4 linked regions of the Tamandua tetradactyla genome follow. The protein of the gene in region 1 interacts with the protein of each later gene in a biochemical or structural test. Links are inferred from orthologs where the notes say so. Each region holds a gene or a part of one and is shown on either strand. Other genes may lie near its edges. The genes, in order: SNTA1, MAS1, GUCY1A2 and ADRB1.

Evidence for each region.
Region 2: the proteins of SNTA1 (region 1) and MAS1 interact in a test that uses a peptide from one of them, tested with the Homo sapiens proteins (2 studies listed by BioGRID and IntAct). The link is inferred for Tamandua tetradactyla from reciprocal best matches to the Homo sapiens genes SNTA1 and MAS1.
Region 3: the proteins of SNTA1 (region 1) and GUCY1A2 interact in a test that uses a peptide from one of them, tested with the Homo sapiens proteins (3 studies listed by BioGRID and IntAct, with this or other methods). The link is inferred for Tamandua tetradactyla from reciprocal best matches to the Homo sapiens genes SNTA1 and GUCY1A2.
Region 4: the proteins of SNTA1 (region 1) and ADRB1 interact in a test that uses a peptide from one of them, tested with the Homo sapiens proteins (2 studies listed by BioGRID and IntAct). The link is inferred for Tamandua tetradactyla from reciprocal best matches to the Homo sapiens genes SNTA1 and ADRB1.

The regions. Positions count from the first base shown.
Region 1 is NC_135327.1:19,571,600-19,578,635, reverse strand, and holds the start of SNTA1 (alpha-1-syntrophin), read right to left. Parts: upstream 3,003-7,036; 5' UTR 2,872-3,002; coding exon 2,559-2,871; intron 233-2,558; coding exon 47-232; intron 1-46. UniProt on the Homo sapiens protein: Adapter protein that binds to and probably organizes the subcellular localization of a variety of membrane proteins. May link various receptors to the actin cytoskeleton and the extracellular matrix via the dystrophin glycoprotein complex.
Region 2 is NC_135337.1:63,731,716-63,738,106, forward strand, and holds MAS1 (proto-oncogene Mas), read left to right. Parts: upstream 1-4,896; coding exon 4,897-5,871; downstream 5,872-6,391. UniProt on the Homo sapiens protein: Receptor for angiotensin 1-7. Acts specifically as a functional antagonist of AGTR1 (angiotensin-2 type 1 receptor), although it up-regulates AGTR1 receptor levels.
Region 3 is NC_135334.1:35,005,890-35,013,366, forward strand, and holds the start of GUCY1A2 (guanylate cyclase soluble subunit alpha-2), read left to right. Parts: upstream 1-4,476; 5' UTR 4,477-4,498; coding exon 4,499-4,792; intron 4,793-7,477. UniProt on the Homo sapiens protein: Has guanylyl cyclase on binding to the beta-1 subunit. Isoform 2 acts as a negative regulator of guanylyl cyclase activity as it forms non-functional heterodimers with the beta subunits.
Region 4 is NC_135339.1:76,002,108-76,009,503, forward strand, and holds the start of ADRB1 (beta-1 adrenergic receptor), read left to right. Parts: upstream 1-4,372; coding exon 4,373-5,758; 3' UTR 5,759-7,396. UniProt on the Homo sapiens protein: Beta-adrenergic receptors mediate the catecholamine-induced activation of adenylate cyclase through the action of G proteins. This receptor binds epinephrine and norepinephrine with approximately equal affinity.

The sequences.
Region 1 (7,036 bases):
CACATGCACACCCACTTTTCAGGGCCCTGGGGACCTCAGTGCTTACCTTCTAGCACCACCTCCTTGCCTGCCTTCTTAAGGACCTGCACTGCCTCATCGTGGCTGGCAGAGGACAGGTCTTCCCCATTCACGGACAGGATGGCGTCCCCCACAAAGAGGGCCTCAGTCTGGTCAGCTGCCAGGCCCTTGAAGATCTTGGAAATGAGAATGGGCATCTTGTTCTCCCGGCCCCCTACACAGGCACAGAAGGAGAAAGAAGGTGAGGCAGATGCTCCAATGCTTAGGAGTCGTGTCAAGGCAAAAGTATTTATTGAAGGCCTCCCAGTGCTGGAAAAGGAGCGGGGGGAATGTGGAAGACTAAAGAGAATCTCAGAACAAAGGAGCCTTAGAAGCTTGGGACACTTAGCTAGTAAGCCGCAGGGCCAGCATTTGAACCCAGTCAAATGTGGGCCCTCGGATATCACATTCCTTGTCCATCCCCAGAGATGAGAAGATGAAGAACTAGCTCCCCAGAGAAAGGAACTCATTGTTACAAGGTCACACGCCAAATTGGTGGCAGAGCTGGGGCTGGAACACTCTCCTGACCTCCACATATACTCAATAGTTTGTTCATCATGCTGCACAGAACTTAAGGCCTAGGGGGAGGAAGGAGTTTCTATTTATCTCTATCTTCCCCCTCCTAAAACAAGGGATTCAGTCCAGTTTGAAATATATGGTCATTCCTATCTGCCCATGGCGACAGGAGCCCATGGAACTTGCACTTCCTCTGAAGCCTCCTAAAAAGACCATCACCCCCATCTGGAAGTATGCAGCTTGAGAGTAACTTTATGTGACCTTGGAAAGTCCCTGCTCTTCTCTGAGGTCTCAGTTTGTCCATCTGCAAAATGGGAGAGTTGGCACTAATGCAAAGTGTTAATAATAGGAGAACATGTGGGAATTCTGTATGTTAGGCACAATTTCTCTGTAAACCTACAATTTCTCTAATTAAAAAAAAAAAAGGAAGGGTTGACCTATATGAACTATAGATTACAACCTGCTCTGACAAGCTGAGTGTACCATTTCTGGATTGGCCCTGCTGCCCTATGCCATGCTGGAGGTTGGGAACAAGACTGGTACCTGTCCCTGGTTTCACCACTTTCCCCTTTTAGACATCTTTGGTTGGCTGCCTGGCAGTTTGCCTTTCCACATGTAAGTATCACCCTGGGCAATCTCTAGGGAGGACATGTGCCTGATAATTGAGGCTCTAATCCTAGCTCTGGAGCTAACTATGTGACCCTGGGCAAATCATTGCACCTTTCTGAGCATCCGTTTCCTCACCTGCAAAAAAATGGGATTATATTCCCTATCTTTCAACACTGGTGCCAGGATGAAGTGGCTCATGAGCCTACAGTACTGGGCACAGCACCTGGTACACAGTGGTGACAGTTGCCACCATCCCCAGCCCCAGGCTAAAGGATCTGGAGGCACCAGTGAACAGAGTTAGCACCAGGGAGACCCAGAGAGGGGACAACGTACATTCAGGGTGAAACAGAGACTGACACCCTTTTCCGTGGCAGGTAACACTTCGCCGAGAGCTGGGACCCTAGGAAGCAGACAGGCAGGACTGGTGAGCTCAGCAGCTGGAGGTGTGCAGGGAGTTTAAACACTGTGATCAGTTGCTTTAGGAGCCTCTCCTGACCTCCATTTTTCCTCTCAAATAACAGCGATAATTAACTGGGCCCCTACTATGCGCTGGCAGGGTCAGCACTTCGGACTTCTGTGCTTACAGAAATAACACAACTTTATCATTATCCTCGTGCAGTTGAAGAAATTGAGGTTCATAGATGGAAAGCGGATTGTCTTAAGTCCAGAGTCCTAAATGAGTCCCCAAAGAAAGCCGTCCACAGGCTGGGAGCTCAAAGAGGAGTACCAACTCTGTGTCTCCCCTTTCAATCCTGTGCAAAGTAGAAAGGGTCAGATCACCAGATTCAAACCCAGATGTCAGGGCTCCCTGCCTAGGCAAACAGCTGTCCCGGGTCCTCAGATTTCTGCATCCTTTCTGGCCCGTCTGCGACTCCAGCCTGTGCCTCCACCCACGGGCCCTACCCATGCACGTCCTTCCCAAACTCCCTCCACCTTGGTGTTGTCTCACGGACTTGCTTCTCCTTGCCTAAGTAGTGTCCCAGGCCTCGACCCCTTTCTCCACCCTCTGCTCTCCTGGGCCCCTCTTGTCCTTGGTGCCCGTGCTAGCTGTTCCCGCAGATCCCTAAGCCACCACATAGAATTCCCCACCCACGTTTCCGTGGTGCGCCCCAATGCCCTCCACACCTACTCCGTCGGTGACTTCGACTCCCAAAATCCCATGTCCCTGGCTCCCCACTGTACTGTCACAGACCCCAAGTCTCTGACCTTGGAGGCCCCCGTGCGCCTAGTGGCCTCAGAACACCCCCACCCCATACCCTCAAACCCAAGGCCTCCCTATTCCACGGCTTCCGTTCGGCACCAGTCCCCACGACCCCTGCGTCGTCGGCGGCCTCACAGACACTACGACTCCGTGCCCTCGGTGCCCCCGCGCCCACCTTTGATGCTGATGCCCAGCCCACCGGCGTCAGCCTTGCGCACCGTCACGCGGCGCCGCTGGAGCAGCAGCGCCTCCGGCAGCTGCGGGGGCGCCGCTCCCGGCTCGGCGGCGCCGTTGAGCTGCGAGGGTTCGGGCTCCCGCGGGGCGCCGGGCTCGGGACCGGGCTCGCCGTCGGCGGGGCTCACAGTCAGGGCGTCCTCCGCCAGACTGAGCAGCACCCGCTGCCACCGCTCGCCGCCGCCGCCGGGGGAGCCCACCCCGGCGCGCAGTTCCAAGAGCCCGGTGCGCGGGGCGCGCCTGCCTGCCGCCATCTTCGCCTCCGGGCCCCCGCGCCGCCGCGCTCACTCTGCCCCGCTGTGCCCGGCCCGCTCCGACCGAGCACCCAGGGCAGAGGGCAGCTGGGGCCCGTCTGGGCCAGCAGCCACCCTACCCCGGGCCGCTGGGGGTGGAGTCTCGAGGGGGCGGGGCTACGTGGGTGTGGCTAACCGCAGAGGGCGGGGCCTTGACACCTCGCGGGAGGCTGGGCGAGGTCAGACGCCCAAGGGAGCAGAATAGAGCTACTAGAGGGTGGGGCCGTAAGGCCCGGGCCCCGAAATAAGCCGAGGAGCTGGTGAGGAGCGGATGCCCAAGCGGAGCCGTTCAGGGGGCGGGGCTTCATACCGAGGCCAAAGGCCAAGATTCCTGTGAGGGAGACTCAACTCTGGTCAGGGCCGTCGAGGCTCTGGGCCGTCGCTCACAGAGATGTGAGCACAAGAACAAGGGAAGGACCGTAAGGCCTAATGCGAAGCTTTGGGCGTAGGAGCTGAGGACACCAGGGACAGGGCTTGAGTTTAAGAAGTCGACAGCGAGCCGCGAGGCATAACGCAGGTGTAGCTGCTAGTGGGCGAGCTTCGGAAGAATCTCGTTTCCGAGTTTGGCGCGGGGCATTTTGGCATTGGGGCGTGGTTTTGTGTGGGCGTGGCTTCTGGTGCTTGCAGGCCCCGCCCACTGGGGCTGACCTTGCAACTGCTGCCTTTAGGGCTTGGCGAACGGGTGGGCATGTTACCCAGTTAAAAACTGAAGGAGACTTTAAGAGGCTAATGTCCTGCAACTATGTGATGAAACTGTGAATTACTGATTATATATGTAGAACGGAATGATGATGTATTAAGAATGTTTTTGTCTGTTTGTTGTTATATTTTTTAATTAAAAAATTAATTTAAAAAAATAAAAAGAAACAAGGTAAAGTGAACAAAGGGAAGATACGTATGGTATTAGCCACTGCCGCTACTGATTAAAACCCTGATAAGTGGGATGGTAATGTGTGGACAAAGCAGATAATGGAAAAAAAGCAAGTATTTTAAATTAAAAAAAGCTTGTCAGATAAAACAAACAAACAAAACCTTGTAAGCCATTAATTACCTGGATGGTTAGAATTGCTGATGCAGGGGCTGAAGGAGTGGTGCTGGACTATGCTGATTGCATGAAATTTACAGAAATTAGCACCAGTCCCTTCATACAGACTGCTTTTCAGAAGTTTAATCAGCAAACTGGAAAAAATTCTAACTTGCTGACATTGGCTGCACGAAGATGCAATAAGCAATGCCCTGCTAACAGTATGTGGCCATGAAATAATCGACCCTGGTACACTTTATAAAATGGCAAAGCTGGGAAACATGGGAGACTGGAATACAGGGAAAGGAAAGGCCAAAAAGTATATATATATATGTACATTATATATATATGTATGTATATAAAATGGGAAATGGTTTCCCAAAACCAGTAATAGGATTTCCCACAGAGAAATGTTCCAAGGCCTGCTGGAAGCTAAGGTTAACCAAAAAAAATTAATGTTTTGTCAAAGAATTAAATTTTTAAAATGTATACAAAAGAAATGTAAACCAAGTTATGATCATAAAATGAGTAGTGCTCCTACTCCTGGCAAGGCAGAAGACCTGCATCCAGCTCCCTTGGTACCGCTATACCCTCACTTACTCCCTTTCTTCCAGACAAAGGATTAAGCCAAACCCCATTATCTTTGATTCCAAATTTGTGGCTCCCCTTTGGTTTAATGTTTCATATTTTTTAAACTTGAAAAAGCTGTTTAATATTATGAAACACCTTGCTTGCAAATTTTATCCGTACAGAGTTTTAAAAATCTTTATTCTGTGCCATCAATCCTTATTTTAAAAAATGTATATTAAGGTTTCAAATATGCATTAACTAAAGCATTTTAAATATTGAACATTATTCTGACAAATTCAATTTTAATAGTAATTGTGTGTGGTAAAATATTTGCTTTAAATAATGACTTAAGTATGAAGGATATAAAAGATATGCTTTTACTAAAAGGAAAAGGAGAGTAGTTTTGCCCTCACATAAAATAAATGGCTGTTACAGAATAAAAAATGTAAGACAAAGCCTGAACAAATATAATAAGTTGCCAAAGGTTTGTAAAAAAGGAAATTATGGTCAAAATCAGGGAAAGTTTAAGGTGAACTAAAAGGGAAGGTGTTAAAAGCAGTACCCAAACTCTTTAGCATCTACGCTCCCTTACCTGAGATTAAGCCAGGAAACATGGTATGGGTAAAAGACTGGGGGAAAAAAAAAAAATGGGCTCCCTGCAGCCTCAATAGGGTTGGTCCTTAATAGAAAGGTCCTTACCATGTTGTTGTAAGTAACCCTAACAGCCATCAAAGCCGTGAAGATCATCCTATGAATTCACCACTCTCAGGTCAAAAGGGCCACCACAGACAACCCCTGGGAATGCACCCCTTATCCTGAACACCTGACACACATTGTTCTCCGGGAGCCACTGCACTCCCTCTCCTTCGCAGCTGAGATCAGCTGACCAGCCCACAAGTAAGGCCTGAGTGACAATCGTTGCCCTGCTCTAGCTCACCAGAAGCAGCTAGTCAACACCCAGCTGAAGCCTGAGGAGATCTCCGAGCCCTGCCTCAGTCACCCCGGAAGCTGACTGATCTGCGTACAGCCGAAAATTAAAGAATCAACACATGGCCATCCCAGTCTGCTGGGTCTGTGGACTAATTCTCTTTTTTTGCTCTTCACGTTTGTCTTTTGTTTAGTGGTGTTAGCCCGCCTGAAAATCAGTCCCCTGGAGTTCTTCCCGAAAACCAACTTTACTCATTTGACAGAATCCCTCTTACCCAGCTAACTTCCCCCTTCCTAGCCGCTGCGCAGAGTGAGTGTCTCCATTCCTTCCCTGAGGCTAATTGTACATTTGTGTGGTGGCACTCCCCATAACCAGCACCATTAGCCTCACTCCTTTGTATCTGCTTGACATGATCATAAGCCCTTCCAAGGGGGATGATGCATGCCAGGCATGCTTCAAGACTACCTATGTTAGAAAAAGATAAGAACTATAACCAGTATTCATGCCAGGGCAGTTCTCAAACATGAATTATTCTGTATGCACCCTAAAGAAAGATGCCTAGTATGCTATAATCCCACCACACCGGGTTCAGTACTGCTATCTTCACTACTCTAGGATGGCAAAACTGTAAAGGCCTCCTGGGAACTGGGGCTAAGTTTATCTCTTGCCCAAAGCTATAAGCTAAGCCCTCACTGAAAAAAAAAAAACAAAAAATCTGGGTTCCCAAAAACATTAGACCAAAGCTGATGCCCCGCCAGCAGGTAAAGGAATCCCAAAGCAGGTGCTGGGCATAAAGGCCAGGGTACATAGGCTGTTAAAGAGACAGATCAGACCCTCTTGTGGGGGGGGGGGGCATTGCCCCTTCCTCACTTGCACACCTCACATCACCCTGCTTGGCCCTGGAAGATGGCTGGTTAGCCAAAGACGGGTAAGATTCCTCAGGGGAGGAACAACCTAAGACAGGCACAGTCACAAAGGGGCCATCAGGAGAAAATTTGAGGCCAACAGCAGCGGGGTACAAACCCTCACCACCACCCCCCAACTTTGCAGGGGCCTAAATTCTGCATGACTACATTCTTTCCACATCTAGCTCAGATTGGGACATATCAACACTTGCAGCAAAAAAAAACACACAAACAAACAAAAATGAAATATAGGTGATGCTATAACCCCTCCTATAAGTTGGGGTAAGCATCAAAGGGGGAAATGTAGCAGGCAGGCCTCTCCCCACCCACCCCCCACTCCCTGCTGCTTCTTCTGGTTCAGCTGCCTCCTCTGTGGAAAATCCCCAAACCCCCTCTCCTGACCTTCAGGAATGGGTGAAACTGCAGGCAGGTGAGATAAGACAGCTGGGATGGAGACTCCTTCCTTAAGGATGCATATGCTTCTGTGACCTAGGTTTGTGTCCTTCTCAACTTAAACCAGCCAATCATTTACCTTATCTTTAATATGTCATCCTGTCTATAAAAACTAATGTTAACCTTTTGTTCAGGGCTCAGACTTTCAGAGCTACTTGATTGAGCCCTATGGCCATAGAAAATAAAATCTACTTCCTGAAAAAAAAAGTAGGCTAATGTCCTATTCCGTTCACAATTGAGTGGTTG
Region 2 (6,391 bases), on another chromosome or scaffold:
CTCCATGGTTTGGCATCTTACATCTTCTATAAAATACCCCAGCTCCTGGGGAAGACAACTTGTAACTTATGTAACAGAGTGATTTTATATTTATAAAAAAATTCTAGCAACTCAAAAGAAATAAACATAGGACATGAACAACATTCACAAAAAAGAAACACAAATAACCCTTAATATGAAAAAATGTCCAATTTCATTATCAAGCAAATAAATGCAAATTAAAACAAGACACCCTTTTATCATCTATCAAATTTAGGAATTTAAAAAAAATGGAGATTTTGTGGGGAGGAAAAACATTAATGCTTTGAATTAAAGTATTCAGTTACTGTCAGTGGCATTATAATTGGTTCAGTTAATTTTGAAAGATGCTTTGCCAATCTGCATTAATATTTTGGAAAATGTTTATATCCTTCGATCAAGCAATTCCACTTTTAGAAATATGTCTTAGGGAAATAATTAGAGATTTGCATCAATTTTGCATCCAATTAAGTACATCGCAGTGTTTTGTATTTTAAACAATGGAGGAAAATAAAATTTTAAAAAAGGTGAAAAAGCAGGAGCACTCAGTCCAACATAGGGGATTTATTAAAAATAAATTATGGAAAAAAATAAATTGCGGTACATTCAAATGTTGTCTATTAAAGCCATGTTTTTAGAGCATATACAGACCTAAGGGAATGTTTACAATATCATGTTGAATAAAAAAAGCAGGATACCCAAGCAGATTATAAAATGCAATCTCCATTTTGAAAAAGATGTGTGAAGGCATTGAAAAAAGACTGGAAAGAAATATCCCAAAATGTTAAATCAGGCTAATTTTGAGTAGTGGTTTTATTCATGATTTCCTTTTAAAAATTTCCAAAATTTCTTCCATGGATATACATTAGTTTTACAATTAGACTAAAAGAGGCAATAACATTTAAAAACTAGATACCCCCATTTTAGGATTAAACAACCCATAAAATGTGCCCTGCTTGGGTGAACAGTTTTTTTTTCAGTGCACAAATCCTTTTGCAGGGTCGGGTGTAGTGTTCATAGGTACCTGCAGACTGTGTGTTTAAGTCACAGGGGAATTTGAATGCAGAGGGCACGCAGTGATCTGGCCCCATGGTTGGCAAATGCGCAATTAGAAAGGAAAGAAGTCGAGAGATGAAAAAAAAAATCCCCCATGACACCAGGGTGTATGGTGCCTTCAGTGTCTTAAGCAGGAGAACTGGAAAGCATTACACACAGAGGCAATCAAAGGTAAGGTCTTAACTGGGAGACCAGCTCAGCTTTGAGTGAGAAGTCGGGAGACCTGGATCTCTGCACAACTCTGTCGTCAAGATTCGGGTGAGCTTGCCGGCGGGTGTGGCTGCTTCTTGGGCCCCGGGAATGCCCTACGCAGTGAAGGAAAGGCTGTTGTGGAGCCCTTTGGAGTGGTGCAATGCAGGGGGCCCCGAGTGTGTCCTCGTTATTAATCCCCCTGTAAAATGGGGACAAGAACCCTTTCCTTATCAGCCTCCCCGGGTAATTTTAAAGATTCCAAGCTGGGATGGAAGTGAAAATGTTTTGGACTCTCAAGTCCTACCCAATTGCATTTGGATGCTCCAACTTCTTTCTTTCTCCCCAGGAATTTCTTTTAGGGGAAGGGACAGAGGATGGGAGATGCTCTGTGATGCTCCAGTAACCATGCTGTCACCTACAGTCTCTCTTTTACTTTTTTGCCAACTGAGGTTCCTCCGCTGTCTTCCTGGCCACGTTGGGAGGCACACGAGGCCTTCAGGATGAACTCTTCTTCCGCCCAGGACCATCAATGCCAGGTAAACCTGCATCGCTGCAAATCCTATTGCTGTGTGACAACAGAGCTCCATAAACAAACAAACAAACAAAAAGATTTGTCTGTGTGGATCTACGCTGGGTTGGCACAGAGGCAGCAAAGCATTCCCAGTGATGAATTTTGTGGTTCAAATGCTTGCCCCGTCTTGGCCGTGTTTGGAGGACTCAACCGCGTGAGATTTTGCTCTGCTGTTGGGGAAGGATCACCGAGCCAAAATGAAATTATTCTGAGCTAGACTGTTTTGTCAGCTAGCAGCAATTACCCTTCTACTGTCCTCACCCTTCCCCGCCTCAAATATCCCAGTCATCTGCCCACGGAGCTGAATAATGCACAAAATGACCAAGGAGCCTGGAGGAGGAAAGGGTTTGGGGGTGGGGAGGATGCGGGGCCAGCTGAGCTCTTGTCATCTGCTATTTCACTCGAGAGACTGAAATTCCATCTTACACCCTCCGCCACCATGCCCTGCTCCCAGCCACCAGCATCTGGGTAAGTGCAGTCACCTCCCTTCTGATCTCCCTCTCTCTGCCCCCATGGCCTAGAATCTAATCTGAACACCATACTTCCCACCTCCCTAGGAGCAGTGGCCATGAGGCCCCATGAATCTGGCCCCCAATACCTCTCTGAACACATCGCCTAAGCTTCAGCTCCTGCTTATTCTACGGGAGCCACACCAGTCTTCTACCTCTTCTTCAAAAATGTCTGGCGTCTCCCTGCATCTAGACCTCTGTGCTTTCTGTTCCCCCTGCCCGGACCACTGCTCCCCAAGAATCTGCATGTCACTCACTTCCTTCCTGTCTTGCCCCATGTGTAACCTTATTAGTGAGCTATTCCCCATCACTCTGTATAAAATAGAAACCCCACATCCCTGTTACCCTTTATCCTTCTAACTCGGCTTTACTTTTCTCTAGTCACACTTACTACAATCGGACATGTACCATATTTATTTGTTGTTGTTGTTGTTATTTGTTATTTGATTATCAACTGCCTGCCTGCTAGAATATAAACGCCAAGAAGTCGGGGCTTTGTCTATTTCGTCTACTGCTGTATCCCAGGTGCCTAGAACCATGCCTGGTGAAATCACACTGAATACATACTTGATGGATGAATTGAGGAAACGTTCTTCTTCCTTCCTTCTGGGAGTGCTGCTGTCCTACCTAGAAACTTCTAACAGAGCCTGGTGTCTCCAGCAGGTCTTTGACCAGCCATGTCATGGTCTTCTGAAATCGTTCCTTCTGGAGGACTCTTGAAGTTATCGGTGGTCTATATCTTTGGTCTACTTATGAAATGAAAGGAGATTTGCCCCAGTGAAAATAATGCCCAGTACCTTGCCAAGGGACATTTCTGGTCTCCTGAAATCACACCTCTGGGGAGATAATTATGCATCTCACCAACCTGAAGTCCGCCCTGGTGATTCAGATTTCAGATGCAGTTGTAGGGACATTGTTTTGTTTGCTAAAGCTGCAGGAATGCAATATACCAGAAATGGGTTGACTTTTAACAGTGGGGATTTATATAGTTACAAGTTTTACAATTTTAGGGCTGTGAAAATGTCCACATTAAGGCATCAACAAGAAGATACCTTCTCTGAAGAAAGGCTGCGGGCATCCAGGGTTCTTCTGTCAGATAGCAAGGCATGTGGCCAGCATCTGCTGGTCCTTTGCTCCTGGGTTTTGTTGCTTTCAGCTTCCAATTCTGATGGCATCCTCTCTTTCTCTCCAAATGTCTGTCTCATAAAGGACTCTCAAAAGGATTAAGACCTACCTTGAATTGGGGGGGGGGGGGTCATATCTCAATTGAAACAACCTAACTAAAAGGTTACACTTGCAATAGGTCTGCACCACAAGCATGGATAAAAAGAACATCGCATTTTCTGGGGTACATGACATCTTCAAACCAGCACAGACATCAAAACTGGGAGCTCTGTAAATACTGGGGATCTGATGATCCAATTTTGGAAATGCTTATTATCATCAGAGACATTCAAACTCCAACAAAAATGTCACATCTATGTACTGTACCAGCTTCAGGCGACCTTATGAGGAAAAGGCACATAACTAATTTTAACAAAAGGTTAATTATTTTGCCCAAGCAGGGACCCTGGTCTGCAAGGTTCCAAAAAAAGCAAAGGACAACAAATAGCCCTGGAATAGGGGAAATGATGTCTGGCAGCTGCCTCTCTTTTCCTTTCTCCAATGGTAGAAAGCGGTTTATGTATGTTTGTCATATTACAGCAGGGTGGGGTGTGTGCATATATTTATTTTACAATTAGTAAAGTATGAGGGAAAGTTTCTGGGAAATTTTGCTTTGCAGCTTCAAATATTTAGCATTTTTCTTGGTTTTGGGTCAGTCTTATGTTTAATGTCTGCAATAATGTTCTCTTTCTGTTTTCCTGCACAGCCTTGTCTACGGTATGTGGAAATGTAAATACATCTCGTTAACACTTGCCATATGTTGTGCAGAGTGTTGGTTTGCACAGCATACCTAGTCTGAGTAGGTGCCCAGCTTTGTTGTAGATACTGAGACCATATGAAATAAATATGTTTTAATTGTTCACACTTTAAAAATATTGAAGCACTACTAAACATAATTCTCATTTCCTTTCATAATTTGCTCACTGCTTATGACACTTAATGTATTAAAAATGACAACATTGCGCCGATATGTGTTTCTTGAATTACATCCCAAAGCAGTCACCCTGGTTCCTCAGGGGTCGAAATGGAGATACAGAAGATGAAATAACTTTCAAAAAATCCGTTCAGGAAGCTTGGACCAGAACTGGAAAGGGACACCCCTTGCTCTGCTGTATCCTTTTGTGGCACTGAGCCATAAGTAGTAATAATAACTCCAGGTCAGGGTTATTGGCAGGGGGCGTGGGTGTCCAAAAAGGCCTTTATAGAAGTTCTCTTGTTTGGTGAAAGAGAATTGTACGGCCTCTTAAAACATTTGTTTTTTATAACATGAGGGTTGTCATGGGTAACCGAAATTCCCCTTTCTGTGCCAGTTCCCCATTTCTGATGGTCCTCTTCCGACTCTGTTTACAGGAAGCTAACCAAGGCGCCCCAGCCCCAGGCCTTCTCATGGGTGAGTCAAACGTCACCTCGTGTGTGGCTGAGGAGCCCGGGAACGCCTCGGCCCCCAGGAACACCTCCACGGGGGCCCTGCGCCAGGAAATCCCCATTGTGCACTGGGTCATTATGAGCATCTCCCCACTTGGGTTTGTGGAAAACGGGATTCTCCTCTGGTTCCTCTGCTTCCGGATGAGGCGGAACCCCTTCACGGTCTACATCACACACCTGTCCATCGCCGACATCTCCCTGCTCTTCTGCATTTTTATCCTGTCCGTTGACTATGCGTTAGATTACGAGCTCTCTTCTGGCTATTACTACACAATTGTCACATTGTCGGTGACATTCCTGTTCGGCTACAACACGGGTCTCTACCTGCTCACGGCCATCAGTGTGGAGCGGTGCCTGTCGGTCCTGTATCCCATCTGGTACCGATGCCATCGCCCCAAACACCAGTCAGCCTTCGTCTGCGCCCTCCTGTGGGCACTTTCTTGCCTGGTGACCACCATGGAATACGTCATGTGCATTGATAACGGAAGACAGAGCCACTCTCGAAGCGACTGCAGGGCAGTGATCGTCTTCATAGCCGTGCTGAGCTTCCTGGTCTTTACCCCACTCATGGTGGTGTCCAGCACCATCTTGGTGATCAAGATCCGGAAGAGCACATGGACGTCCCACTCCTCGAAGCTCTACCTGGTCATCATGGTCACCATCATCATCTTCTTCATTTTCGCCATGCCCATGCGGCTCCTGTACCTGCTCTACTATGAGTATTGGTCCACGTTTGGGAACCTCCACCACATTTCTCTTCTCTTCTCCACCATCAACAGCAGCGCCAACCCCTTTATTTACTTCTTTGTGGGCAGCAGTAAGAAGAAGAGGTTCAAGGAGTCCTTAAAAGTGGTCCTGACCAGGGCTTTCAAAGACGAAACACAGCCTCGGCACCAGGAACACAGTAACACCATCGCCGTTGAGACTGTCGTCTGAGCAGGGGGCGGGTGGAGGGAGGCTGTGGACAGAACCAGAGGAACACTGACAATTCTCAGTTTGTGCTTTGGGACACAATGTGAGTATCTCTTAAATATGATACAGAAGGACATGTACATGAGATGCCAATGGTGAGATTGTACCCTTGTGCCGTGTCCTCTGGAAATGCCTAAATTCTTGTCAGATCTCTATCATCATTTCTGTATCTTTCGAAAACCCCATTTCTGTTGCTCCTCAGCAATTCTGGCAGCAACCCCCCCCCCCCCATGAACTGTAAAAACTCCTCCAGTGGGAAGATTTACAGATGTGTTCCCAAAAAGCTAATGGTGTTTGTCGGAACTTGAGGAAGCAAAGCAATGTAATGGGAAAAACAGGGGTTTGGGGGGTCAAGTTGATGCTTACCACCTGTGTGTGACCTCAGGCAAGGGAATTAGCCTCTCAGAGCCTCGTGTCCTCATTTATAAAATGGTCATAGTAGTAGCACTTACCTTGCAGGGTTGTTGTAAGGAAGAAAGAAGGG
Region 3 (7,477 bases), on another chromosome or scaffold:
AATTTCTGTTTGAAGTGATGAAAATTGGGGAAATGATGGTGATGATAGCACAATATCATGAATATAATTAATACCACTGAATTATACACTTGGGAGTGGTTAAAATGCAAATTTTTGAGTTGTGTCTATATTGCTACAATAAAAATAATTGTAAAAAAAGGAGGCAGCCATCCTACTTAGAAGTATTTTTTCGGTACAAATTCTACTAAGTGTGGTTTTTGTTTTTGTTTCTTTTCTTCCTCCTCCTCCTCCTCATCATCATCTGCTTGTCTATATCTACCCCTACCCCTGCCCTTATCCCTCTCTCCTTCTCCCCACCTCCTCCTTTTTCTTCTTCTCCTCCTTCTGACCAGCAAGTACCCTATTCCTTGAAGATGGTTTTATGATGATATATAACCATAGGAAGATGTATTTCATTGACTTCCATGCATCTCTTTATTTATGGACAAAATATATGGCTATTTTCACTTTGATATTATTCTTAATATTCAGTCTTACCATGTTTCATATTCTTGCATAATTTTGTAGTTCTAGTCTTTTTTTTGGTAACCATCTTTTACCAAGAAAGTACATTTGCCCTCTTTTAAAAGACAGGGGTATTAAAGTGGGAGGTGGAAGCAGCTCTCATTCAGGGAACATGCACACAGGATTAAACCTGCAGGTGAGGAACACGTGTGTGTGTTTATGTGTGTGATTTTCTAGGTTAGGAATCCAGAAAAACTTGCTCTAGTTAAGAATATTTCTTCAGAGAGTTTATTATGACGTTACCTTTAAATCCCTGTGATTTGCCAGGTTTCATAAAGACTGACTATAGGGGGCAATTTCTTTAGTCTTCTTATATCACGGAAGATCTCTGCTCCAGGGGGCACTTATGCAGATATTGCAGGGTTTTTTTTTTCTGGAGACTTGGATGAAAAGAAATTAGGAAAGAGTTTGGTACTCTGAAATGAAAAGACTTTGGGAATGAAGACTGATTGCAGTTTTTATTTGAATTTGACAGAGGTAATTTTTCTTTACTTCTCTGTGAAGAAGGAAGACAAAATTAAATGACACAATGTAAGTGAAAAAAGCTTATTGAATAGAAATGCTTTATATGAAGGTGAGGTATGTATGACAGTTGTTTTATGTTTAAAGGAATAATAGTCACCAATTTGACTAATATAGTATATCTGCTTTCTAAGGAGTCTTTCCCAATATTGATCAATCTGAACTGAGTCCTCAACTGCCCTCACTGACATCACGAACCAAGTACATTCCTGAATTTTTCTTCCCAATACCAGACTGGGTTTTAAGGACTTCATTGTATGACACAATATACCCAGCAGGGCTTGGATTTGTGGGCCTGGGTTTTCATTTCCTAAAATCTGGGCACAGGTTATTCATTTTTAGTGGACTACTCTTTGACTAAGGTGCTTGGATTTCTTTTGCCAACTCTAAGGCTCTTTTATAAAAAATAGAGGATATGCTATTCTTCCTTTAAAAATGTTAATTCAAGTATAGAATATAGTGCTCCTCATATTGAGAACTTTCAAACTTGATTCCCAAAAAGAAATACAAAGGAACCCCTTGAAAGAAATGTGGACGATGTACTATCTAGAGCTAGGCCTCCATATGTTTCTAGTTTAAAAATCGGTGGGAAAATCATGATCAAAGCAGAGTAATTCATACAGAAAGCTTTAAGATTATTTTATCTGTTTAGCGTCTGTGAAAAGTCTTTGGTTCAAATGGTTCACACAAAGAAAAAAATGTCCCATAGGTTCAGAGTTCTTTCTGGCAATAAACTTTCAGTGTAAACAGGAAGACTCTTGGACCTCCTAGAACTTTTAGAAGCAAATAACACTCATTGCCTTGCACTCTAATTTTAACTTTGAAACATAAGTTGGAACGGTTAGTTCCAGTTCTAAGTTCAATGAAAAGGTTATTTACCGTTACCATAATAAAATTTTTTTGGTGCAATAATATTTTATTGAAAGAATACAAAGGGCATATGCTAATTAATATTCTAATAAAAGCTCTAAAATTCTATGATTCTGGAGAACTTGACAATTAAATCATTACTAAATAAGAGAAGTAGGAACTACAACCTATTATGTCATGATTGATACTGCACAGCAAGAATATTAAACAATTTCCCCCAGGTTGGAATTATGTAATTCTCAAAGTACTCTTCCATTGTAATTCAGAAACAAAGGCCAGTGAAACTTTTCAGCAGAATTGAAAACTATTCCTTATGACAAAGGTGTAGTTTGTGTCTAAAATCCAGTGAAAACAAATGACTGTGGAATTAATTGAAGTCACAGGAAATCTACAGGAGATACGCAACACAATACAAATTTACTATTATTATTATTAGTAGTAGTACTTTCAATGAGGCACCTCCTATACCAAATTTTTTCTGCTAAGAGGAAAAACTAGCTATGCGGTTAGACACTTAGTAGGCTGAGAAAGGGGAGCATATAAATGAAAGTATACCTTTTCATACCATTTACATCTATTTAAGCTGGGAATAAGGCACTTCTCTGAATCAGTTTGGATTTTTCTAAAGTATAAAAGGGCACCTTAGATAAAAATTACATTTGTTTGGGTCTTCATTAACAATGCTAAGATTTTAGAGTTGAAAGCGAAATGGGATGGAGATGCAGCAAAAGTATTTCTTTTTATTTTCTTGTTTCTGTCTTTCGTTTTTAACTTTACAAATTCAATCCATAAACCCACCTGTTTTCAGCTGGAAAGACCAGTCCTTTAGAAAGTGCATTGGTTTTTGTGTCGCCGGGGAACTAAAGACAGAGTGCTGAACTTTTCTTTCCGGGCGCGGGGGATATTGAGGGGGACCCTCTTCTGCTTTGTAGCAGGGGGAAGTGAAGCCTCGGACCACTCTTTTAGTATACTCTTATTTGTCCCTTCTTCCCATCTCTTACCCTAAGGTTAGAGAAATGCGACTCTTTTCTGGGGCTAAAGCCAGAGCAGAGGGGCTGGGCGCTGAGATCGCAAGGGTGCCAGCTTTGGAATGAAGCAATTTCGCCACAAACTCGGAGCAAGAGATGTGCTCACTGTGGCGTTTCTGCTCTTGGGCTTTGAAAAGCCTTTCTTCCCACTCTCCTTAGTTTTCTGAGCAGCATTTCCAGACAAGTGCAAACATCGTACATTTGGCGCAAACGGTCCAGCAGACGAGAGATTAGGAATCACTCCCTCGTTTACCGCCGGCCGGATCCTAGCTAGCGAAGTCTGTAGCTTAACTGCCGGACTTCCCCCACCCGCGACGCGGCCAAAAGCCGCTGCAGGTGGCAAGAGGAGCTGTCCAGCACTAATGCGGAGCCCATCAGCCGCGGGCAGAAGCCCGGCGCCCCGAGCTTCCTTCCCCGCCAAGGCTCAACAACAGGGCTGTCGCCCGAGCAGTCGCTGTCCTCACACACTGCCACCCATCTCTGGGTTCGCTGCGCGGCTACGTGGCCTCGCCCGCAGGGGAACAAGGGGGAGGGAATCGTTCCCGCAAGCTGTTCCAGCCCGAGGAGCGCCAACATGTTGCCCCTGCTCTTCCTTTCCTCTGTAAGCTTCTCCTCCTGGGTCGGCGCTAGGCCTTTCGCCTGCGCCGCGTAACTTCCTAATTAAACTCGGAGGAAGGCGGGGAAAGGGCGAACAAGGACCCTAACCCTCCACTTAGCGTCCTCAGGCTTGCCAGGAGGTGGCTCCAGGGGGAATTCCCTTGCCTCTGGGCCCTGCGCCCCTCTCCTCTCCTGAGTCCCGGGCCCGTTTGCTCCCTGGACGCCTCTTCCGGGGCTGTGGAGTAGGACGTTGGGGTTGGGGCCCCTCCATGCGGTCAGAGCCGCTGGGCGCTCCTTAGTGGAGCAGAGGGCGGCGGGAGCGGGGAGAGCGCGCAGAGGACTGCAACGAAGTGTCCTCGTTGCTCCTGAAACGTGGCGATAGGAGAGGCAGAGACTCCCAATGAGTATGCTGGCGACACGTGATACCGGCGGAGGGAGAGCTTGGGGGTGGGGGGAATAAAGGGAGAAGGCGGAAGGCGGGCGAGCAAGCGGAGAGGCAGGAGGAGAGGGGCGGGAGGAGAGAGGGTAAAGGCGTGAGATAGGAGCGCAAGCAGCAGAAACCTCAGGCTGTGGACCACACCGGCCGCAACCCTCGCCGCCCGGCCGCCCGGGCGCACACTCCGAGCCTCCCCGCGACCCGAGCGCGGCGCACAGCGCATGGCGATCCGCCGAGGCGGGCGCTGAGGCGGCGCCGTACGAGCTGCAGCAGAGGCGGCAGCGGCCCCCAGCCCAGACCGGCGCCGCCGCCGAGCCCGGGCCCCAGGGTGCGGCGGCGTCCCAAGTTCCCGCGATGAGCAGTCGGCTCGAGGGGCTTCACGGCCCAGGGGACTCCCGCCCCGGCGAGCGCGACCGCAGCGCCCAGTGGCCCCGACGCGCTTAACGCCGCGGCTCGCCGGTCCCGCCGCCGCCCGCGTCCCCGCCGCCACCGCCTCGGCCGCCGCAGAACCGCCGGCAGCATGTCTCGAAGGAAGATTTCGTCCGAGTCCTTCAGCTCGCTGGGCTCCGACTACCTGGAGACCAGCCCCGAGGAGGAAGGGGAGTGCCCCCTGTCCAGGCTCTGCTGGAACGGCAGCCGGAGCCCGCCCGGGCCGCCCGAGCCCAGCGCGGCCGCAGCCGTCGCCCCGCTCCCAGCCGCCGCCTCCGCCGCCGCCGCTGCCGCCGCCACGGCCGGGGCCAGGAGGGCACAGCGCCGGAGGCGGGTCAACCTGGACTCGCTGGGCGAGAGCATCAGCCGCCTGACGGCCCCCTCGGTGAGCGGGGGGCGGCAGGAGGGGCCGCGCTTCGGGAGAGAGGAAGGGGCTCGGGAAAGTTGGCGCGCGGCGAGCCAGGGCGTAAGCGCAGAGCCCGACCGCTGGGGGGCGGCCTGGCCTCGCCCCGCCGGGCCTGGGGTCTCCGACCCTGGGCGAGAGCCGAGTCCCAGGGCGCTGGTGGAAGGGGTGTTAGAGCACCGGAAAGGAGTGAAGCCTCCGTTCTTCCCTTCCCGGGTCTGCGGATTCAGGGGTGCCTGACTGCCCTCCCCCAGCCTTGCGCCCTACTTCATCATTGTCACCCTTGACGGCCCCGGTGCTCCTTCGCACCCACCTGTTTTCTTTCCCTCAAACTTTCCCAGTCACTTTGTCCCGCAGTTCCCATTTCCAGGTCTTTCATCTCTGTTTTCCAGCATCCCAAAGGAGCCCCAGCACTTCCAGGATACGCTTCCTCTCTTTTTTTCCCACACTCTGTTGGTCTTAGCTGGACCTTCTCTGACACTGAATTCCACAGGCTATCGGCATACTATGTTGCATCGCTTTTCTCAAATCTTTTGGAACTGCCTGGCGGACACTTTCATGAATTATCTTCTGTTGAAGGACCCTCTGAACTGTTTTGCACACCACCCCCCACCTCAGAGTTTTGTTTTATTGTTGTTGTTTTTAATAACTCACTGGGCATTTACTGATTTAACCCCCAGTCTTCATTTCTGGTTAAACTGGTGTTTGGTTTTCTAAACCTCGCGGGGACTTCTTGCACCCTACCTCATCCTTCACTCCCCCTTCCCTGGGTTTTCCAGTGCTTTCCCCCTCAATTCTTTATGCCTTCCTTATATTAGGCCCGTCATATATAGTTTTTGATTGAATAAGTGCTTTCCTACGTGTCTTCAAACTCGTGCTCATTTGGGGATATCTGTTTTAGCAGTCCCAAGTGTACACCAGACTCCTTGGTTCTAGGCACTCCTTCCAGAGCCCGCTGGCGTGGTTCCTGCCGAGACATGTCAGCCACCCTTGACTTTCACCGTCTGCAGGAATGCCAGACCTCTGTTCCAGGCTTTCCCTAAGTGAGCTCAGTGTTAGGCATCCATTCTATTGCAGACAGAATGTGAAGGAGGTGGAAATGTTGCCAACCTGCACCTTTCATTTTCTCTGTTCATTGTCAAACCTCTGTCTGCCTCTTATCCTCACCCTGACCTTGGATGCAAGGACTATAATTCCTGACAGCACTTTTACCTGCCCACACTGGGGCTCTTTCTTCCTCCACGTTTCTAAAACGTATCTGAACATCGATCTTGATTTAGCTACTCTCTGTCTCCCCTTTGAAAGTACGCTAGCGTTTTTGGGGGAGGGATCTGAGGAGGAGTGGGACCCTGAGACTGGATCCTGGTACCAGACAATCCCAACAATGTCCTTGTGGTCCTGGCGTTCAGGAAGAATGCTCTTCGTGAGCGGTGTCATGTTCCTCTTCTTGTGCATTTTTTCCTTTTAATTTAACCTTTCCCCCACTTCTTTTATTGATAACCTAGGAAACAAACCTCAAAATAATTTAGGGCGGGCCACGGTAGCTCAGTAGGCAGAGTTCTTGCCTGCCACGCCAGAGACCCGGTTTCGATTCCCGGTGCCTGTCCATGTAAAAAAAAGAAGATGATTTGGCTACTATTTGCTATTCTTCACTGCAAATATTTCCCAGGCAACTAGTCTTAGGAACTCTTTGCTGTTGCAAAATTGTTGAACACAAGGAGTCAGTACCTAAGGCAGCATTTGCGTATTATGCTATTTCAGTACAACAGATTCATTTTTGACACAGTGATTTTACTAAAGATATTGATTAGTCTTTTTTTTCTAATCCTGAAGTTTCTTTGGTCCTAAGAACCAAAATTTACAAATGTAATGGTGCCTCTGATCATGACAATTTGGCCTAAGACTATTTTCAACAATTTATATGAAGAGTAGAAAAAAATAAACTGAACTAGTGTATTTATTGCAAGATTTAGAGTGAGGAAATAGTCTCTGATTGATACCTTTCTAAATAAAATTTGAATGAATTTGGCTTTTTGTTGGATAAAAACAGTTTTCAGGATGAGGAATTTGAAAATAATTGCAACGATTGTATATATATACACCACACATGCATATGCACACACACACACACACATACAGAACAGTTATATATACTTTCCATGCTGTAATTCTTTTTTTTTTTCTTTTGAAAAGGGTGTGTTAGATGAAGTGCTAGGAACATACGGGTAAATACAGTGTACACATTTTCAGTATCAGAATCCATGTCTAAATAAATTCTCATTGGCTAACCATGCCATCAATAGATTTAGTGATGCAAAGAAAATAGATTAGTTTCAAAGCAATGACTTTTTCTAAATGGTACCCATCCTATTTTCTTTGTTTTCACAATCTAGAACACTGCCTCAAAAAGTTCCATTAGATTAATTCTCTACTGTCAGAGTTCTAAACCTCTTTAAATGAGACAATAGAGATGAATTATGTCCTGTTTATTCTCTCTCAGTAGAGCCAGACAATTTTTTTTAACCTTTGAGAATTGCCATGACAAGGACGTTCTTAGATGGGAACTTCTAGTTCTGAGTGTGTGAGCTTTCTTGAACTCCTATACTATCTACTTCAGGAGAACCTGTGCTTGCCAGGGAAGCTTGAGTTTTATCAGTGGTCATATCA
Region 4 (7,396 bases), on another chromosome or scaffold:
ATAGAACTTGACACCAGATTCAAGTCATTAGCTATTCTCCCAGGGCAGAGATGGCTGGGTATATAATACCGTAAATGAAAGCAGAGGGAAAAATTCCCTTCATCTTGATCGTTTGTGAAGATAAGGTAATACTTTTTATTACTGTGATCTCGTATTGGCCCCTTTAGAAAGCCCCTTGCCTATACCTTACTTCATTCATTACTAAATAGGTATGACAAAAATTTTTCTCATGAGCCTCTCTTATATTTGTAAAGTGTTTTCGAAATGCTTATATGAAAATATCAAGTATGCTAAAGGTTTATTATTATGAATGGTAAGCATGAGTAAATATTTTAACAATCAAAACAATTATTTCTCATAAGTATGAATATACATTATTAAATTAAATATTAAATATTTGTGAACCAGTACTAAATATTAATTAATAAAAATAAATATTAGTAATTTGAGGGGCTATAAAAATGGGTGGGCTAGTCCTGGCTCTCACTGAACTTACAATCCATATGAGAAAGCAAGAGAAAAACATGTAAAAATTACACAAGATAGCAATATAAGAGATCTCAAAAAGCAATATATTGCTAATTGCCTCCTGAATGGCAAAAATCATAGTTAAGCATTGTAGGACAGAGGAAGGAGAGACCATTTCCAGAAGCAGTAGTCAGGGAAGATAGCAGGAGAAGACCTTAGTCAGATCTTGAAGGCTGAATTCACTGAGGCAGACATGGAAGAGGGAATTCTTGGTGGAAGGAACCCAGGGAGAAAAAGCACAGATGCAGGAAAGGAAAGAGTACTGGGGTGGTTTGAAGCTGTCTGTAGCCCATTAAAACATGCTCTTAAATTTAATGCATTCCTGTGGGAGTGGAACCCATTGTAAATAGGACCTTTTGATGAGGTTCTTTCATTTAAATTGTGGCCCACCTCAATGAGGACAGCTCTGAAATCCTATTACTGAGTCCTTTATAAGCAGAGTGAAATTCAGACAGAGAGAGAGTCACAAAGGGAGCAGCCAGAAGCTGAACATCAATGAAACCCAGAAGAGAAGGGAGAGACCAGAAAATACCACCTATGCCTTGCCATGTGACAAACTAAGGACCTAGGGTCACCAGCAACCAGCCCCAGAATGCCACAGTCTTTGGGGAGAGAGCACTGTCTTGATGATGCCTTAATTTGGACTTTCTTTTAGCCTCAAACCATAAGCTAATAAATTCCCACTGTTGAAGCCTACTCACTGCATGGTATTTGGTTGAGCAGCTTAGGAAACTGCAAGTTAAGCTGATGTAGAGCGTTCTAATGAGAGAGAGCGCTGGAAAGGAAGTTTGTGGCTAGACTGTGAAGATCTCTGAAAGCCAAGTTGAGAAGTTAGGTTTCTAAACCGAGAAGCATCTTAGTCAAAGCAGTACTTTCAGAACATTAATTAGACTATGATATGCTGGATTCAATGCAGGGGGGAGGCCAAATAGAACCCACAAGTTCAAATACAGGTGATGGCGGTGGGATAGGTCTGGTGAGGTGGAGGCAGGGAATATGGAGGAAGGAGTACACTATTTCTTAAGTGTGCTGATTGGAATTATTGTTGGAGTGCTTTGCTATATTCTGAAGTATTGCCAAATATGTGGGTTCCTAGGAACAGATTCTCTTTAACAGCTATGGATGGGAATGGGGAGATAGAGGAGTTATTCATTTTGAAGAGGCAAGCCCCCAAACATGTAATACCTGTCTAAGTTGAAACGCTGAACCTTTTCCTCTTTATCTTGTGTCTTCATCTAAGCACAAAAAAATCTAGCAAAAAAAAAAAAAAAAGATCAAAAAAGCCATGAAATATAAGAATTAAAGGTCACTGGGAAGATTTTATTTTAAAAGAAAACTAATTCAAGTTGCTACATGGTGTGCTTATACATTTACTTAGGCAGGAGAGTCCTTACCTTGCACAGTTCTTCACTGCAAGTCCACAACCAAGGTCTGGCCTTATCTCTTCCAGAAATGCAGCTCCTTCACCCTTCAGGGGCACTTAAGGTTGACACTCTCTATTCTGGTAGCACCACTTGACAAAAAGATGGCACCCAATGGAAAGCTTTTTCCCCACACCCTCACCCAGCAGCCAGGCACTCAACCCTCTTCCTGGGCAGCATCAATTTCAACCCTTTCCAATTCCTTGGCTATTTTGAGACTGTCCGTTGAGGTTCTGAAAGGTGCCTGAAGGGGAGACTCAGTTTGAAAAGACTTGGGTAACTAAGAATTCAAGCCTGTTCCTCTCCTCTTTCCAGCCCCTCTTGTTTCCTTGTTTCCCTTCTTCAGTCTCCCCAGATTGACAGTACTAGGGCAGGGGTGAATAAACAAATAAATCACTCCCTGGTTATAACATTCTGAATATCAAATTTGAATCAAAAGCAAATTTATATGCTTGGATTTCGGAGAAAGTAGTTAAAAACTGCTTGACTTTGTAAAGTTAATGAGCTTTATTTTCTGCTCTTGAGTTGGATAGTTGTAGAAATCAGCATCTCTCTGCAAGGTAAGAATATGTTTGGTCTAGATGTTGATGTTCCTTCCAGAAGCTGTTTTTAAAATTTCAGTGCTAGAAAGATGTGTGAGCATTGAATACCATTTTCATGCACCCCTACATGGAAAACTAGAAGTTGATTATTTCTCAAAGATTTAATTAAAGATCTTTAATTTGAGGACATTACCAGATCCAAATTAGAGAAAGGGTTTGCAGTCTCCTTCCGGCTTGTATTGGTGACAATCCTGTCTGTCCCTTCATATAATCCCCACACAGCTCAGCTAACAGCTCATTCATGTCAAGCTGATTCAATTGCTAATTCAAAACCTACTGTTACAGCTTTAAATCCTTTCGTTTTTCAATCATCTTGAATATTTACATATTTCCTTCTCTCATCCTTCCAGGACTAATCCTAGAGTTTTGAGAATCTGGAATTTGGGCACAGGAGAAAAGATGGCTCAGACCAAGAAATCTGAAGTCTCAGGTCATTATTTCAACCAAAACTGGCAGTTCCTTTTTGTTTGTATTGACTCAGCTCCAATATGAAATCACATGCGTAATAAAAAACAAAATACAGGTGTCATTACTGAATGTGAAAGGTCTGAAATGTAATTAAATGTGTTCTTTCTTCACGGCGGTGCCATTTACTTTTTATGTCAACATTTGTTTCTCTAAATCTCTCTATATTACCGACACACACTGTTGCGGCATATTCACACATTCATTAGCTGGGACTGGGGAGTGTGTGTTTTTGCAATTGATCCTCAGCGTTAGCTGTTAGGAGCAGAAACCTTAGCTTCCTTTCTGCATCTACTGCACTGAAACGACTGAAGATCCCTGCAAGAACAGCGCCAGAGAGCGTTCCGACAGATGAGCGGTTTGCTTAACGCGTTCGGCTGGAAAGTTTCCTCTAACCACCTACACCTGCCTCTGATTCCCCGAGCTGGCAGGACGCAGGCTGGCAAGGTCCCCTTTTGGCAAGGAAAGGGCTTTACACACACCCATCTGGGTTGTCTGAGAAACAATCTCGCAGTCAAACTCCTCCAACCCCAGCGGACAGACTGTCCGAGGAGGAGCTGTGGCGCTTCAAGAACACGGAGGTTCCCTCCCGGCTAAAGGGAGTGCGCGCGATGCTCTGCGGGAGACCCGGGCGCTGGAGGTAAAGGACGCGCCGGGAGGGTGGGGGGACTGAAGGGATGGGCGGGAGGCAGCGGGAGTGCAGACAGAAGCCGAACGCGGGAGGCAGAAATCGCACGCAGCCGGGAGCGGAATACTGGAGGGAGAGGGAGCCGCAGAAGCCGGCTGAGAAACGCGCAGGAGCTGGGCGCTGTAGGGGGCGCAGGAAACTGGGCGCTGGGGCCCGCGGTGCGGGACGAGGCGTGCGCAGGACCCGGCAAACCCCAGCAAGGCGCTCGCACAGCGCTCAGCAGCTTACTCCCCCTCCCCGAGCCGCTCCAAAGCGCTGAGAGGGAGGTGCCGGGGACTGGGGAGGACCAGATAGGGGCGTGCCTTTGCCTCGATTGGCTGCGGGAGCTTGACGCGATGCCCCGGGGGTGGCTTGGAGGAGTGGGAGCCGGTGGGGTGGGTGCTGGGTGCCGGAGGAGCGGGCCGGCGCGCTCAGAAACATGCGGAGGTCTCGGCGGTCGTTCCAGCAGCGGCAGCGGCTCCAGCAGCAGCGGCGGCGGCGGCGGCGGCGACAACGCTCGGCTCCCTCGGAGAAGGCGCCCCGCGCCGATGCCTCGGGCCCTGCGCCGCGGCTGCGCTGACCTGGCCGCGACCTTCGTCCGCGAGCCCCGCCGCCCCGGCTTCTGGGGTACTCCCCCAGCCACGGCCCAGCCCCGCCACACACCCCGCCCCCGGCCTCCGCAGCTCGGCATGGGCGCGGGGGCGCTCGCCCTGGGCGCCTCCGAGCCCTGCAACCTGTCGTCTGCCGCGCCGCTCCCCGACGGTGCGGCCACTGCAGCGCGGCTACTGGTGCCCGCGTCGCCCGCCTCGTCGCCGCTGCCCACGTTGAGCGAGGTCCCCGCGCCGCTGTCACAGCAGTGGACGGCCGGCATGGGCCTGCTGATGGCGCTCATCGTGTTGCTCATCGTGGCGGGCAACGTGCTGGTGATCGTGGCCATCGCCAAGACGCCGCGGCTGCAGACGCTCACCAACCTCTTCATCATGTCCCTGGCCAGCGCCGACCTGGTCATGGGGCTGCTGGTGGTGCCGTTCGGGGCCACCATCGTGGTGTGGGGCCGCTGGGAATACGGTTCCTTCTTCTGCGAGCTCTGGACCTCGGTGGACGTGCTGTGCGTGACGGCCAGCATCGAGACCCTGTGTGTCATCGCCCTGGACCGCTACCTCGCCATCACGTCGCCCTTCCGCTACCAGAGCCTGCTGACCCGTGCGCGGGCGCGGACCCTCGTGTGCACCGTGTGGGCCATCTCGGCCCTGGTGTCCTTCCTGCCCATCCTCATGCACTGGTGGCGGGCCGAGGGCGAAGAGGCGCGCCGCTGCTACAACGACCCCAAGTGCTGCGACTTCGTCACCAACAGGGCCTACGCTATCGCCTCGTCCGTGGTCTCTTTCTACGTGCCCCTGTGCATCATGGCCTTCGTGTACCTGCGGGTTTTCCGCGAGGCCCAGAAGCAGGTGAAGAAGATCGACAGCTGCGAGCGCCGCTTCCTCGGTGGCCCCGCGCCGCCAGCCTCGCCCGCCCGCTCGCCGGGGTCCCCGCGCGCCGCCGCCCCTCTGGCCAACGGACGCACCAGCAAGCGGCGGCCCTCGCGCCTCGTGGCCCTACGCGAGCAGAAGGCGCTCAAGACGCTGGGCATCATCATGGGCGTGTTCACGCTCTGCTGGCTGCCCTTCTTCCTGGCCAACGTGGTGAAGGCCTTCCACCGCGACCTGGTGCCCGACCGCCTCTTCGTCTTCTTCAACTGGCTGGGCTACGCCAACTCGGCCTTCAACCCCATCATCTACTGCCGCAGCCCGGACTTCCGCAAGGCCTTCCAGGGCCTGCTCTGCAGCGCGCGCCGGGCGGCCCGGAGACGCCACGCGGCCGCCGGCGACCGGCCGCGCACCCCCGGCTGCCTGGCAGTGACCCGGCAGCTGCCGTCGCCAGGGGCCGCCTCCGACGACGACGACGTCGGGGCCGCGCCGCCCGCGCGCCTGCTGGAGCCCTGGGCCGGCTGTAACGGCGGGGCGGCGATGGACAGCGACTCGAGCCTGGACGAGCCGAGCCGCCCGGGCTCTGCCTCGGACTCGAAGGTGTAGGGCCCGCTCCCCGCCACTCTAGCCGGGACGTGGAGTCTGCACCCCGGGGGAGGAAAGACCCAGCGTTCCCGAATGGCTTCCCAGGGAAAAGAAAAGGTCTGTGTTTACTCAAGACCGAAGGCAGGTGAACTCAAAGCCCACAAACCTCGTCTGAATCATCCGAGACAGACAGAAAAGCCACGGACCGTTGCACAAAAAGGAAAGTTTGGGAGGGGTGGGAAAGTGGCTTGCTGATTTCTCTTGGATTCTTTTCTGTTCGTGGTTCGGCCTTCTTTTGCTTGTGCTTGTAATGCATCTTAGATTTTTTTCCCCCTCGCAGGTGGTCACACCTGCTGCAAAGACCTGAGTGCAAATTGGGTGGGAGGGGAAAGGAGAAGCTGTAGGGATAGGGATGAAAGTCTATCAACTTAGCTTCCATCTGTTCTCAGGAACAAGAGCACAGTCAACCCGGCTATGGCCCGGGAGGGGGAGGGGAGGGGCGTGAGACAGTTTGTCAGAACATGTTCCTTTTTGCTTTCTAGAGAACTTTCTCTCAAACTCTCAAGTAATGATATCCCCTGTTCTTAAAGCAAAGAGAAAGGATGGATGCAAAAATCAAGTTTCAAGAATAAGCTATTCTTGGAACAAATCTCACCTTGCTTTCCTTTTGTAGGGCAAACTTGCTGTCCCCCGTGCCTCGGGGGTCAGGCTCTGGGATTTCTACCTCACGCTGTGCATATTGCACAGCAAGCTAAAAGACTTGTTTATATTAAACAGCCTATTTATGTATCAATATTAGTCGGAAGGACCAGGCACTGAGCCTCCATAACATGTGATTGTCAATTGAAGACAGGACAGAAAAGAAAAAAAAATGGGGGAAACAGTTCTAATATCAAAACAGATTACCGTACATTTGGATAAAAATAAAAAATAAAACAAGGAGTAGTTCAAAATGCCATTTTTGCACAGTGTTAGAAATTACAAAGTCCACAGAAGATGTTATTTGCACAAAGGGAAATTAAATATTTTTAAAGGGGGGTGCATCTTAAAAGCTAAAAGTTAAAACTCTACTTCTGTTGTCTATTATATTATTGAGCTAATGATTTATTGGTAAAATATCTTTTTATACTCTTTTATCATGGTACTGTAATTGTATCCATATTATAACTATACTTATCTTAAGGGTTTTTTTTTTAATTTTTTTATGTCTAATTGCCCACGTGAATATGTTGGTAAAATTTAGCACTTGTGTGTAAATTCTATTTCCTCTTGCATATTTTGCCAAGTATTTATACTCTGGTGCAACTAACTACTGTGTGAGGAATTGGTCCATGTGCAATAAATACCAATGAAGCACAATCAAGATTATGTACCATGTGCCTGTAAGGGGTCAGTGATAGTGGAAAAGACAGCGTGTTTTGCTCAAAATACAGATCGGATTTCCGATATAGCTCTTTGAATAGCTTTTCATGACTCGATAACATAGCAAAGTGCTTTTAGACCAAATATACTTGCCCCTACTGAGCGCTGCAGATTCGCCCTAATTTTTCACAGCCGGATTTAAAGTATTCTAGACTACTTGTAGGCGTTTTCAAGATTCCATCTGCTGCACTTGACTTAAGTAACATTTTGGGGATTGTGTATCTTCAAAATAAAACT